Ovis aries: one gene and its partner. The protein of the gene in region 1 interacts with the protein of each later gene in a biochemical or structural test. Links are inferred from orthologs where the notes say so. Each region holds a gene or a part of one and is shown on either strand. Other genes may lie near its edges.

Region 1 (7,388 bases):
TGAAGACCAACTGGAATGCTTCCACCTACACTTTAAAACCTGACTGTATCTGGGAATCTAAAGTTTGAAAAGCAAAACTCAGCCTATCACAATTTAAAGAGAACAACTTTTTTCTTGATAAAAATGAGCTGCTTCGAACCTATGTGGGGCAGAGTTATTTTTTAAACCTGATTCACAAAGCTATCATTGCTCTTTCAGAACACTTAAAAATGACCTTTTAAGTTTCTTAACAATTGTCAAGTTTTAAAACCTAATCCCTTTAACATCATATATCCTAAGCCACTCTAATTTAAACCTACTTTGGTGCCGTCTTCCAGTTTCGGTTTGCAATGGAATCTGTACAATTAACAATAACCTTCCTCCTCCTCATCTTTTTAGGGAGCCGAGAATGACATATCTCCTTATCTCCCTATTTGCGCCATTAGACTGACATATTTTGCCTCATCTGTCACCTTCCATAAAACTCTGCTTTCGGATATGAGTTAATTCATTTTTAGTTGTCCTCGATGTTCTAAAATAGTGATGTTTGACAGAATTAATACAGTGCTCTAGTTTTCTCTGTTCAACTGGTATTTAATTAAAGATCTTGGAGGCCATCTTTCTCTCGGGTTACACTGTTTAAAGAAGGAATGTTACTTCCTCCCTGGACAATGTACTAAACCACATGGCAACAGAGCTATCTTCTTAAGGTCTCCCATCCTCCCATTTAACAGATTATTTCACTATGTAAAAACTACCAGCAGGACAGATTGCCACTTGATTTCATAGTGATGCTACTTTTCACATCTCTGAACTGCAACTTTACTATAGCCTACCTTCTCTCTTACCTTTAAAGTTCCCAGAATTTCTGGAGTTCTGATGCTCCCTTATATTTTTATTTGATCATTGCTTTTGTTTCACTTGGACCTCAAGGAAGTCCTAATGGTATTAAATTGTAAGAGGTCTTGAATCTCTGGTAACAATGCAGAGAGTCTTTAAGCAATTAGAACTACCTAAAGCACAGACACAAAATTTCTTAAAGTCTTTTGAATTAATATCTTTTGGTGAATAGCCCACTTAACCCGGTATGTCATCATTTTCTATTGTAAAGGTAGCATGCGTAATTTAAACTGGCACCTGCTATTTACCACGCAAATAATCATTCTCTTGGATGGCCTTTTGAAAGTTAGCATTTCTTAATAATTCTTTGGCTGTATCAGAACCACAAGAGGCATGTCCACTGAAGCAAACTTCAGGAGCAATAAACTAACAAACAGACTCTAGGTGGTGGTATAGGTTATTTTTTATCATGATGTTTTGCTCTTAAAAAAACTGCAAGAGTCAGAGGAGCCTTCAGCCTCTTTTACTCATGTCTTTTTACTGCAAACTTATACAGTTTTAGGGTGGACAATTAGTAAAAGTTTGGAGACCCACACAGGAAGTGGTCCAAGCATTAAACCTGGTTTTCAACTACCTCAAAGGCACTGTAGAGAGCGCACTGGAGTAAAACCAACAATGAGGAGTCCTTTTTGTTTGTTTTTTTGTAAGTATTTTACTCATGCTCCTAGGGCAGTTTCAAGGCGTAAGTGTGGAAAGAGGTCTTTCCCCACCAGAGTGTAGGAAACAGACTAAAGTAATAATCCTGCAGCCCGCAGGATAATGGCTGTTCCACTGCTGGAATCTTCTTTGTCTTTAGGAACTAATTTCAAGCAGAGAAAAGTTAGCACTAGTGATGAAGCCACTACTCTCTGAAACCAGTTAAACCCAAACCACATTACCAAAACGCTGGGCAAAACCAGAGCAACTTACTTCAAAGCTGAAAACATTTCAACATACTCCAGGCAGCAACCCACACTTTGGTGCCAGGCAGAGGAAGCACCATTTGTTTAAAAAGTCCACTTATCTCACTGTGTCTTCAACAACAAAGGTGGCAAACTAGTGATTAAGCATTGAAGAATCACATCGGGAAGATGCCACCCACTTGCTAAAGTCATGATTCTCTAATAAGCAGGTTCAATGCAATTCATAACTTTAAAGAATGAATTACCAGAGCCCTCTGCTTCACAAATCACTCCCTCACCAAACGTAAAAAACAACCATCATCTGTAACTCCACAACCATTTTTCACTTTCATCCTATGGACTCTGTTCCTCTAAGAACAGTACCCCCTCCCCAACCCCTCCCCCGCCCCGCACAATTTCACATTTAATCATTTATATTACCGGAGACAAACTCCAACTCAGTTCCACCAACTGAGTGAAAAGTCCCTGTGGCTAAGAACGTATTACTTCTTTTTCAACATAAAAACGCCTTATTGAAATTTTTTTTTTAAACACAAAAGTACTTCTGTTGTCCGTCTACTATCTTCAAAACTCAATTCAATAACGAGATAGAAGGTAAAAACTCCTATAATACTTCAGAGATCAACATGTGTCACAGACTCGCAGACTGTTCGCCTCTAAGACATAGTTGATTCCTTTGTTCCTCCAGACGGAACAGCAACTCTTGATTAAAATTTGGAAAACTACTTTGGAAGGGTTGTGACGGTTTGCAGAATATTTCCCGGGAAACCCTTCATAAGACAATATCCGCTAGTAGTAGAAGAGGACACATAGATGTAGGAGAGAAAAACGAAGCCTCCCAGGACCTGCACGGGGTTCACTCTAGAGGTGAGCCCGGTTTTCTGGCTCCGGAGAAAAGTGATGGTTGAGGCCTCGGGTCCCAGGGGCCTCGCCCTCGGGAGGGGAAGGACACGTACCAACGGGCCTGGCTGGACCCGAGGGTCGGCTAGGGGCCGGGAGCGCGGTCCCCTTGCCTACCCACTTTCCCCAGTCCGGGATCCGGCCAGCTCAGAGCAGGGAGGCACCCGGGCGAGAGGCGGGGGGAGCTGCGCCCGGCGCCGCCCAGGACGCCCGGGGCAGCAGGACTGAGAACGGCGCGACGAGAAGCGCCCGGGGCTCCGGGCCGAGGAGGACAGCCGAGCGGGGGCGCGACCCCGGCCCGGGTCCGGGGCAACACGGCGGCCGCCCTCCCGTCCCCGGCCCAGGACGGCCAAGAACGCGCCGGTGAGCCCCCGGGCCAACTCCACAACTTGCCGGCCCCGCTGCCCGGGCCCCCCGAGTTCCCGGGCAGGTTCGGAGCCGGCAGGAGAGGCGGGATTTGCCCGGAAGCCGTCCCCCTCCGCCGAGCTCACCCCGCCGTCCGCGTCCGCTCCCGCCGCCCCGCAGCGCGGGCCCCCCGCCGCCCCGACGCCCCCCGAGGCCCTGCCCGCCAACGCCAAGCCAACGCCGCCGCGGGCCGCGCTCCCGGCCATTTCCGGCGGCGGCGGCCGCTCGTCCGAGCCCCCCGGCCGCGGCCGCCACTCACCCGAGGCCGCCGCAGCTCCGAGCGCCGGGGCTCCGGCCAGCTCACTCCGCGAAGGCGCCCCGCCGCCCCGTCCTCCCTCGGCGCCCCGGCGAGCTCTTCCCTGCGATCGGCAGCGCTGCCGGGCGCAGCGGCCGCCGCGAGGCCACGGGCGGGCGCGCGGGCGAGCGCGGGGCCGGGTCGTCCCTCCGCCTCGGCCGCCGCCGCCGCGCCGCCTCCTCCTCCGCCGCCGCCGCCGCCTCCCGAGTTCGGGGCTCTGCTGCAATGTCTGCGAGGCTGACTTTGAGCGCCTCGCTCGCCGCCTGCCTGCCCGCCCGCCCGCCCGCAGCCGCGCTCCTCCCTCCGCCGCCGAGGCGGCCGCGGCCCAGTCCCTCCCCTCGCCGCTCCACGCCATTCAGCTCTTCAGCCAAGTTTCTTAACCCTTTTTTCCCCCTCTCTTCCATTGTCACCGGGGCGGCAGGCACGCGCTCGGGTCCCGGAGGCTCGCGGGAACTGCGGGGCCCCCTCGGTTGGCTGGTTTTCCTCCTCGCCCGCCCTCCGGCCGGCCGGGCGGGGGCTGCGGGCGCCCCGAGGCAGCTGGAAGAGCGCGGCGGCCGGGAGAGGTGGGTGCTCCAGGCGCCCCGAGCCCTTCCCCGCGGCTCCCAGCTCTGTCCAGCAGCCCCCACCGCCGCCGAAGGCGCCGGGACAGCTCCTCCTGGGGCTCCCGGGGGGGTGGGGACCACTCTCGTGACCCAGGCCAAAAGCCCGCGAAGGGGGCTCAGCCTGGGGGTCGGGACGCCCCGGGTCCCTTCCTGGGTGCCGGCATCTTAGGCTTCCTTCTCCTCCCACTTCACCCCACGACCCGTGTCTCCTGGGCTCCCTCTCGCCCACCCCCCCCAACTTCCACCACCTTGTAATCTGTGTGTCTTGCTTTAGTCTGGCCGGGGGTGGGGGGGGCTAACTGCGGGTCCCTCTGATCCCGCGCCCTGCACGTAGAAGGCACCCAGGGATAATCGGCGGGTGAGTCCGAGAAGAAAACTGGGAAGGAGACCTGAGGAGCGCCGGGTTCAGCTCCTCGGACGGGAGCAGGGTTTATCTTCTGCTGCTTTGTCACTGCGAAGTCTCCAGCGGAGCCGTTCCTCGAATCGACACCGTCCTCGGACCGAACCTGACCCTCCAAGACAAGGCAGAAGGCACCCAGCTGCCACTTCTCGGGCAGCTCTCCGCCGGTTCAGGCTCCGAGTAAGAAATAACAATTACATCACGAGGCCGGGGCGGCAGCCCCGGAGAGCCTCCTGGTTTCCTGCAGCCTGATCTCCCTGAACCCGCCTCTAAATTGGGGGGGATACGGATTGGTGAAGAGAGAAAGTGGAGGGAGGAGAGAGTCATCCGAAACCATCATTTCCCCCTTCTCCGTGTATTTGCTGTTTTAAAATCTTATCCTCAAGGCTCTCCCCAAACATCAAGCTAGAACTATTAACACCCCCGCAACACCTCCCCAGATGTCAGGTTTCTTTTTGACTCTAGCATCTAGCATTTAGTAACTCGCCATGAAAAAGAAAAAGAAAAAAAAAAAAATTGCCAGGGGAAATGAGGACCGTTGCAGAAATTGTTTTTGCTTGCTGCAAAAACGCTGAAGTACAGCTTAGGCTCACTGTAAACTCCGAAATGGCATGCCTGTGTTTAAACACTTATTACACAAAACAAGTGAGTGGATAAGACACTCCATTCCTATGTGTAGGTTTTCAGATCCTTAAGGATTCGACAGCATTTTAAAATAAAGTTGCTAGTGCACTTAAAAAAAAAACACAAAACTATCCAAGTCATAGAACAGTATTCTATGCCTGTTATGTAATGGTTGTGTTGTGCGTGTAAAATGTCATTTAACCTTTAAAAATATGAATGAGGATTCGGGAACACCTTCACAGTCTTAAAAGGGAAAGCGATATTTCAGAAGAATGCTTAATAATACAGCACCTAGCACAGTGCTGGGCACATGGCAGGAAGATTTTTCTTCATGGTGATAGTGCATTTTAGAACAATTATTTTACATCACCCTAGTGATTTCAACTGTGCGATCTGTTGCCATCTTATATATTTAAACCTCATATGAGAGCTTATTATTTGTATCTACCACCATTTGAAATCTGTTCAAGGCAGCTTAGTAAAGTCCACTGTTCTGCATGACAACATTTATCCAGGATTGATTCAGAGCCAACTGTTTGAATTAAGTGATAGGCAGCATTATTGGAGTGTGACCCTTTAAGGAATCAAACTAATTTTCTTTAAAACTGTTGTACAAAGATTTTCTGAAAACGTATTATAAATGTTTCTATTTTCTTAAGCCATTTTTTGGCTTTTTCTTGAAAATTCAGAGTTAATTTTGATAGTAGGTTATAATGAATTTAAGGACTACATCAATTTCCTGTTCTCTATCAAGCTCCTTCCTAGGAGTCAGGGATGCTCCCAGGATGAATAGAAGCCATCAGTCCTCTCCCTGAAGGACTCCAGGATACTATGATCCAGTGATCATCTCTGTCTTTCATAGTTGCTCTCTCTCCCCCTTCCCTAACTAACAATCTTTTCTCTCTTTTGCCAGGGTTCCTGTCTCTAACATTATCCTCCTCTTCTGATTGGCAACTGCTAGTCTGGTGCAGACTGAGATTCCAGATAGCCTCATTTGTCACCATTCAGTCTAAAGTAAAACAAAATAGTGCCATGTAAGGAACTGATGTGCTCACCAAGGAGAAAGGCAGGTGAACTTTAGTGCATCGACCTTGTGGCAGATATGTGGACTACTCAAATGATGCTTTAAAATCATTCTTTTTTCTTCTTAACTGGGTTTTAGATCATTGTGGTTGGTAGATAAACGACCTCCTAGTAAATAAGATTACACAGTTAATGCAACAAGCCAAATACAGGTCCTGCCCTTTTTAACACTCCTGTTAAAAAGTCTACTGCAAAATGTTAGATAACTTAACAGAGCTCCTCACTTAATTCTTCATCTATCTTCTCAAACCCACAGAAATCCAATCATTGAAAGCCTTAACTCTTTTTGATAGTACATTAATGTTAAGTAAATTGCACACCTTTGTGGAATTCATTTTTAATCATTCTAATTGTTTTAGGGCTATTTTGTTGTTGTACTTTGTTTTTTAAAAAAATCAATACCTAAATTTCCTGGCTAAGAGAGTCATTGTAAGGATACTGGGGCATATATGTAATAGAAGAATGCCTATTCTGGAATTTGTATTTTGAAGTCAACTCATTTTAACCAATTGTGATGTGAAAAAGATGCTCTTGAGCTTTTATACTTACACACACAACTATTTTTTAAATTCAGGGTTCCTGTGGGATCAGATACATATAGTTCAGGCTCAGAGCTTTTATCTGCCACAAAGAAGTTGTCTGGGAGAGGCATGCTTATGATGCGCTCCCTGAACCTGTCTGTGATAGCACTTTTCACTCCAGTTGGTGACTGGGTTACTTATCTGTATCCCATTCTAGATGCAGTCACTACAGGCATAGGGTCCATGTCTTTTTGGTTCATGTTTGGATATGTCCCACCTATCCCTGTGTTCTGCAAATGGTAGGCATCCAGTAGATATTGGGCAAGATACTTTCACAGTATAGAAAAGTTTTGTATAGGCAAAGCTATGGTCGTTTGAGTAGTCGTGTACAGATGTGAGAGTTGGACCATAAAGAAGGCTGAGCGCTGAAGAACTGATGCTTTCGAACTGTGGTGCTGGAGAAGACTCTTGAGAGTCCCTTGGACTGCTAGGAGACCAAACCAGTCAATCCTAAAGGAAATCAACCCTATTCATTGGAAGAACTGATGTTGAAGCTGAAGCTCCAAAATTTTGGCCACCTAATGCAAAGAACCAACTCATTGGAAAAGACCCTGACACTGGGAAAGATTGAAGGCAAAAGGAGAAGGCAGTGGCAGAGGATGAGATGGTTGGATGTCATCACTGACTCAATGGACATGAATCTGAGCAGACTCTGGGAGATGGTGAAGGACAGAGGAGCTAGGCATGCTTCAGTCCATGGGGTCACAAAGAGTCAGA
Region 2 (6,921 bases), on another chromosome or scaffold:
CTTGAAATTTTAGTGCTGCTCTCTTACAATAACTAAAAAAAAATTTAGGAAGATATTTCCACTTCCAAAATTTTTCAACGTAAGGCACACGGCAACATTAAAATCTAGAAACAACTAGAGTAAGTAATAAATATTTCTCTTTTCAACCATTATTTGCTCTTTACCTGAAGAAAGTGGGTGAGTAGTGCAGTTGAAACATGCCTAGATTAATAAAAATGACTGAATTTAAGAAATACCAATAATATTTGTGTGCAGAATGTTATTAATTTTAAAAAGAAAAAGTATATTTTATGTAAATATATATTTTACATAAAATATACTCCCTACAGTGTTATAGGTAGAAAAAAGTGTGAGGCACTTACATTACCAAGGAGGGAGGAGCATACTGAGATTATCTTTTTATACAAGCACCAAACCATTTGTTTTAACCTCTGAGATAAAAGCAGAAGCTAAGAGTAAAAGGAAATAGTTCATATTTGGTACACTAATAATCTACAAGTTCAAAACACAAAGTATTTTATTTCAATCTGATGGAAGTAATTCCACCAGAGAAAAAATTTTCATATTTAAAACTGTCAAAATATCTCCCTGAAAAGGTTCTGTATATTCTGTGGTATTATTTCAGAATACTGTAAACTGTAGATGGTATTTCACTCCTCTGTGACAGCATACTATTCTAATGATGGTAGTATAGGTGAATAACTCCTCTTATTACAAACCAGATTTTAATGTTTTTATAACAGTGAAAATAACACGTACATCAATGCCTCCATGTGAACTTGCTGACATCCAACAAGGACAGTCTTATTACTCTGTGATGCTTCACAAACTACTCAAAAACCAAGGTGAGGAGTGGGCTTGGAATTACAGGAATCCACCGGATGTCAAATCAGGGTAAGTTCTGGCTTCTGATGGGTGAAGATGGGTGGCAGGCTGAGTGTTACTCATGCTGTTTAATTCAGCTGGATACGTTTCATTTAAAATTGCTCCGTTCTGAAACTGCAAACAGCAACACAACTTATTAGAACAGATCCTTCATATATATTAAACCATCAGGTATGTGAAATGTAGTTCTAAAATCTTTATCCTCCAAGTTGTTCTTGTTAAACTTCAAACTCCTTTACTGCTATTTTAACTCATTCAGTGAAGTTGTATTGAACACATGTATTAGTTGCACTTAGAATCTTTCAGTTTCTCCATTAGATAGTATAGGTGAGTGATATCATTGTCTCACTTTAGATGTGGCGATCCATTGACTATCTGATCAATGAAATGCCTTTGGTTTGGGCAGGAGCCACTGGATCAGAAGGTACTAGCCACGAACCACAGGTACTATTCTCCGTCATAAGTCTGCTTTGACCAGATTGTATCTCAGTAAGTTTTAGGTACCAATAAACTAACTACATTCAAGATCACCACATTGGACTACAGATAACCCAGAACTTTCTGAAAAGCAGCAAGTTATGATTTGCGAGAGGTTTCTTAATATGCCTTATATACTATATACCATGGGTATGATTTCTATAACCAATTTTATTCATAATATGCTTTCAAAGTACTACTAAACTTATTGTCCTAATTATGGAAATAAAAATTACCAAAGTAAAATGCTTGCTCTTACCTTTTAACAATGAAATTTAGTCTCATTTCCATAAGTGCTACTGGAAAAAAAGGAGGGAGGGGAGGACCTTGAGACACACAGTTCTGTGGAATAATAATTAGTTGGTGATGGACAGGGAATCCTGGCGTGCTGCAGTCCATGGGGTTGCAAAGAGTTGGACATGAGTGAGCGATTGACCTGAATAATTCCATAGTTCTACAGGTTCTTATAGATTAAAGAACTTTTGAATCTTAGTATAATTAGTGAAAGTAATGGATTATAATCATACCTTTAATTGCTTCAAATGAAATTTACCTTTCTAAAGCCTATGTAACATTAGGTTTCAGTCCTTCTAAACGTTGTCAAGTTTTCAAAGGGAAGGTAATAATCGCCCACTAAAAGGTAGGTTTTGGATAAATTACTTTCATCACTCAATACAATGCACATCAGCAATTGTCTTTAAAGAGACTGTGTGCTAAGTCACTTCAGTCGTGTCCTATCCTTTGGGATCCTATGGACTGTAGCCCGCCAGGCTCCTCTGTCCATGGGATTTCCCAGGCAAGAATACCGGAGTGGGCTGCCATTTCCTCCTTCAGGGTATATTTCCAACCCAGGGATCGAACCTGTGTCTCTTATGTCTCCTGCATTGGCAGGTGGGTTCTTACCACTAGCGCCACCTGAAAAAAGACTTGTCTAGAGCAGTGCTAGTCAACAGAAATACAATGTGAGCCACAAATGGAGTTCCAATTTTTTTTAGATTTAATAACTTTTTTTTTTTAAAGGTGCTCAGTCATTTCCAAGTCTTTGCGACCCCATGGACTGTAACCCTCTAGGCTCCTCTGTTCATGGAACTCTCCAGGCCAGAATACTGGAGTAGCTAGCCATTCCCTTCTCCAGGAGATCTTCCCAACCCAGGGACTGAACCCAGGTCTGCTGCATTGCAGGCGGATTCTTTACTGTCTGAGCCACCAGGGAAGTCCAATAACTCCTTGGGGGAATATGTAGGTCCAGAATTCTTACTATTCATAAGGAAGTAACACAAAACAGTGGGAAAGAAAACACTGTAAGGAGCTGGTGCTAATGCAGGCCCTCTTCAGAATATAATTTTATATAATTCACTTCTCTACAGTTTACAAGTTACCTACCTGTGCTTATTCTGCAGCAATGTTGTGAGATAGATTGTAACTCATTGTTAAATTTTATTATAACTGAACAATGTCAGGAATGAGGATAAGAAATTTTTTCACAGTTTTTTCTAGGGAAAAACTCATATGTAATCAAACAAACCAAGTGTATAAAGAAGATCAGGAAAAAACAATGCGAAAGCTGCAAATGACATTTATAAACTATTATTACAGTCTTATTGGGATTTGCTTCATGACTAAAATACACAACATTAACTCAATATTTTCTAATGGAAAAGCATAAAGGCAAGCATAAGAGATTCCTGGGTGGTCACGAAGAGCAGCGATCATTAGGAAGTACTTTAAGTTACCATGTTGGTAGAAGGGTCTGAATGACACATTTAAAAACATCCAGCTTGAGTCTCGTGATAGAAAGCCAGAAAAGTTACCTTTCTTATTTTTCTTCAGATACCAGGGAAAAAACTATTTTACCTTGAAGGATAAAATGAAGATAGAACACAGAGGAGCCTAGGACTTTTAACAGAGATCACCTAGGACAAAAGTATTTGAAGGAAGCACATTGATACTGGTTTTAACCCAATTTCAACAGGAAAAGAGTCAACATTTAATAATAATGAGTATAATCTATAAAAATACTGAGTCACTGTGTTATATACCTGAAAATGTAAATCAACTATGTCAACAACAACAAAAAAAGAGCTTTGAAAAAGCTATTTTTAAAACCTTAAAGCTTTCTAAGTCAGCATGTTTAAAAGGTCAGATTTAAAAATAAAATCAACATTATTCTAAACAGTGTACTTTTAACTAATTTTACTTGGTAATTTTACTTTTAACTTATGGATGTATTCATACTGCTTTCGTCCTTGATTTCTTTTAAATGATATACTTGTATTAGTAATGTAAAGGTACCAGCTTACACAAAATAGTCACAAATAAAATTAGAAATGTTCTCCCATACATGCTACAGATAAAATGTTAAAATCAGTCACTGACAGAAAACTCATAATTTACATCTGTTTATAATTTATGAAGAGGCATTTGAAAGGACTTACTCAGTTTGAGAATACCCTTACCTTGTTTACAAATGCCTGTGAGCCCGGCGTGGTTGGGTTGTACGGCATCTGAGCCAGCTGGCTGTGCTGAGGGTCTGGCTGGCACTGGTACATTGAAACAGCCCCAGCGTAACATGTCTGAGGAGCTACCATGGCCGACTGTGGATTGAGTCCATGCTGTTGGTTTTCAGGAACTTGTAAACATGAGACAAAATCTTCTAAATTAGAAGCAGTAGTAGGGTACGGGGCTGGTTCAAAATTACCCATGGGAAAGTCTAACTGTGTACCCTGAGGTTGTGGTGGCAACCCAGGCTGACTACAGGGTATCAAGTTCTGGGGGTAAGGCATAGGATCAAGCTCAGGTTTGTAGGGAAACTCTTGACTAGTCCCGGGTAAGTCTGCAAAGACATTGTACTGCTGGAGGTCTTGCTGAGGACAATTCAAAGGCACAGATTGGTTAGAGTTCCAGTTTGCAAACATGTTGTTAACTTGCATATGCTTCATTTTCTGACACAGTTGTTGCTGCTGTTCCACTGCTGTGTGCATCTGATGGGGCTGCAGCTGCTGCTGGTCTAACTGGAGCTGCTCCTGGACCATACAGCTAGGGTTCAGAGCCACGGCTGGCTGCTGAGGGTACCCTGAACACCCGAAGGTAGGCTTATTTAAAGAGTCTTCAACGTAGGTCAGAATTTCATCTGTTAAGTCAATATCTCTGAAGTCATCTTCACCGGAAAAGTCAGTTCTGAAAAATTCCTCATTCTGTTGCATGTGTTGGATGTCTTCAAAATCAATGCCTAGGTGTTTCATAATGCTGTACAAGTCACTGTTTCTGTTATCTGTAAAGAGCCCGGCATGATCTCCAGGGAGAGTTGGGTTCATGTCCTGAGACTGGCTGATCTGCTCATGTTTCAGGATACTGTCACTCCCCATAGGCACAACACTGTTTCGCCAGTTACTGCACTCATTCAGAGAGTCACTGAAAAAATTCCTTTCAAAAGGTGCACTAGTTGAGGCAGGATAGAGGTAAATAGCCTCGTCTTGTTGCATCATGGCATTCAGGAGGGAACTGGGGTTGAGGGAATCCTTACTTAGAGTTGGTGTGTCTTTTCCACCAGCACCATTTTTAGTCTTTATTGGTAAGGGATCCATTATGGAAGGAAAGGGGCTGCTTATCTCATATAGAACGGCGTCTCCAGTGGTAAACATAAATGGCAACTTCATGTTGCGTTTGTTTAAGTGCTCCATTCCTTCTTCATCGCTACAATTGGGCACAAGAAAGTTTGCACGTATTAGAAAAAGCCGTATCCTAAACATTTCCAAAATAAGAAATTTTAAAAAAGAAAAACTAGCACACAAAATACATAGTAGTTAAATTTGCTAGAGGTGAACATAAATTTGAGAGAAATCTTTCTGATGACAAGTAATTAAAACTGTTTACAGAACTTTGGATAGACTTTGTCCAAAAATTTAATTTCACTCTCAGATTCCATCCCTACCTGAAAAAACAAATTCTGAATGGAACACAGATCCAAATATACCAGTGAGGCATGCTGAAATATAAAGCTCTAAAGGAAGATTGACATATGAAAATTAAAATGTTTTGCATGGGAAAACAATCGTAAGTTAGGTTAAGGCATGGAATAAATGTCATAGTTTCATATATACTATATAGTGTGTATATGTGTAAAATTTAATGCTGGTATTACGTAAAGAGCTCCAAATAGGTCTAACAACCTCTTTATAACTAATAGAACAAGCAAACAAAAATAGCAAATGTATAAAAACGTGAACAAAACAAACCAGACCACTGATACGTAAAGAATACTGTACATACAAGGGAACGTGTAGTCTTGATAAGAGTTTGTAGGAGATTTTATCAACACTGACCATACACTGGATTATAAAATAAGCCACAACAAATTTCAAAGGACTGAATTCCTTCAGTCTATTGTCTAACCTCAGTGGAATTAAAGTCAAGTAACAAACAGACAACTAGAAAATCCCCTAGTATTGAACAGTACATAACACTATGTTTCTAAATAATTCCTGAATAAACAAGTCAAATACTAGCACATATTTTCAACTGAATGATAAAGACAAAGGACTGTAGTTAAAATCATACTTAAAAGAAAAACTAATACCTTAACCAAATACATTAAAAAAGAAAAAGATGGAAAGAAATTCAAATTATACCCAAGAAGAGTAGAAGGAAGGAAATAATACTGAACAGACATAACTGGGTAACAAATGTATAACAGGAGAAAAATCAATAAAACAAAAGCTGACTCCTTGAGAAGGATGATAAAATTAACGGCCTTCGAGGAATAGTGACGAAGACAGGGCACAAATTCCTAATACCAGAAAATATGTCTTAAAATTATATGAGTACAGAACTTATAGAACAGAAAGAAAATAAGAGCATAAAGGAGAAAAATCATGATGTTGATGAATGCGAAGTAAGTATTTGGTGTAAAAATTCAACAACCACTCATGACGATGATATTCTTCTGGTAAACTGAAGAAAGGGATGCTTTTAAACCTGAAACAATAAACCCAGTATTTACAAAAATAACAGAAGACTACTTACAAATATCATATGAAATGATCAAGTATTTGAAGTCTTTCTCCCTTAAAGTTGGGATTAAGACCAAAATGAATTATCATTATTTCCATTGCATTCTACAATGGAAGAACTTAAAAAAAAGAACAAAACGAAGTCTAAAGGTTAAAAGAAAAAAATTATTTGCAAACAACATAGGACATATAAGAAAACCTTAGAAAAATGTCTACAGATACCTTATTAGAATTAATAAGTGAGATGAAGGTCACTAGATATAAAACACCAATATTAAAAACTCAACTATTTCTATATATTTTTATATATATATATATATATATATATATATATGCACACCATTTAAAACAACATCATAGAACATATCTAGGAATAAAATTAAAATATGTATAAGACTCAGGTAAGCAATGGCACCCCACTCCAGCACTCTTGCCTGGAAAATCCCATGGATGGAGGAGCCTGGTGGGCCGCAGTCCATGGGGTCGCTAAGAGTCGGACACAACTCAGCGACTTCACTTTCACTTTTCACTTTCATGCACTGAAGAAGGA

Evidence for each region. The genes of interacting proteins can lie anywhere in the genome.
Region 2: the proteins of NRIP1 (region 1) and AHR form a complex in vitro, tested with the Homo sapiens proteins (2 studies listed by BioGRID). The link is inferred for Ovis aries from reciprocal best matches to the Homo sapiens genes NRIP1 and AHR.

What each region holds. Positions count from the first base shown.
Region 1 is NC_056054.1:142,919,343-142,926,730, reverse strand, and holds the start of NRIP1 (nuclear receptor-interacting protein 1), read right to left. Parts: upstream 4,573-7,388; 5' UTR 4,232-4,572; exon of another isoform or gene 3,890-4,231; intron 3,613-3,889; exon of another isoform or gene 3,346-3,612; intron 1-3,345. UniProt on the Homo sapiens protein: Modulates transcriptional activation by steroid receptors such as NR3C1, NR3C2 and ESR1. Also modulates transcriptional repression by nuclear hormone receptors.
Region 2 is NC_056057.1:26,823,461-26,830,381, reverse strand, and holds part of AHR (aryl hydrocarbon receptor), read right to left. Parts: intron 5,056-6,921; coding exon 3,819-5,055; intron 1,662-3,818; coding exon of another isoform or gene 1,659-1,661; exon of another isoform or gene 1,000-1,658; coding exon 865-999; 3' UTR 1-864. UniProt on the Homo sapiens protein: Ligand-activated transcription factor that enables cells to adapt to changing conditions by sensing compounds from the environment, diet, microbiome and cellular metabolism, and which plays important roles in development, immunity and cancer.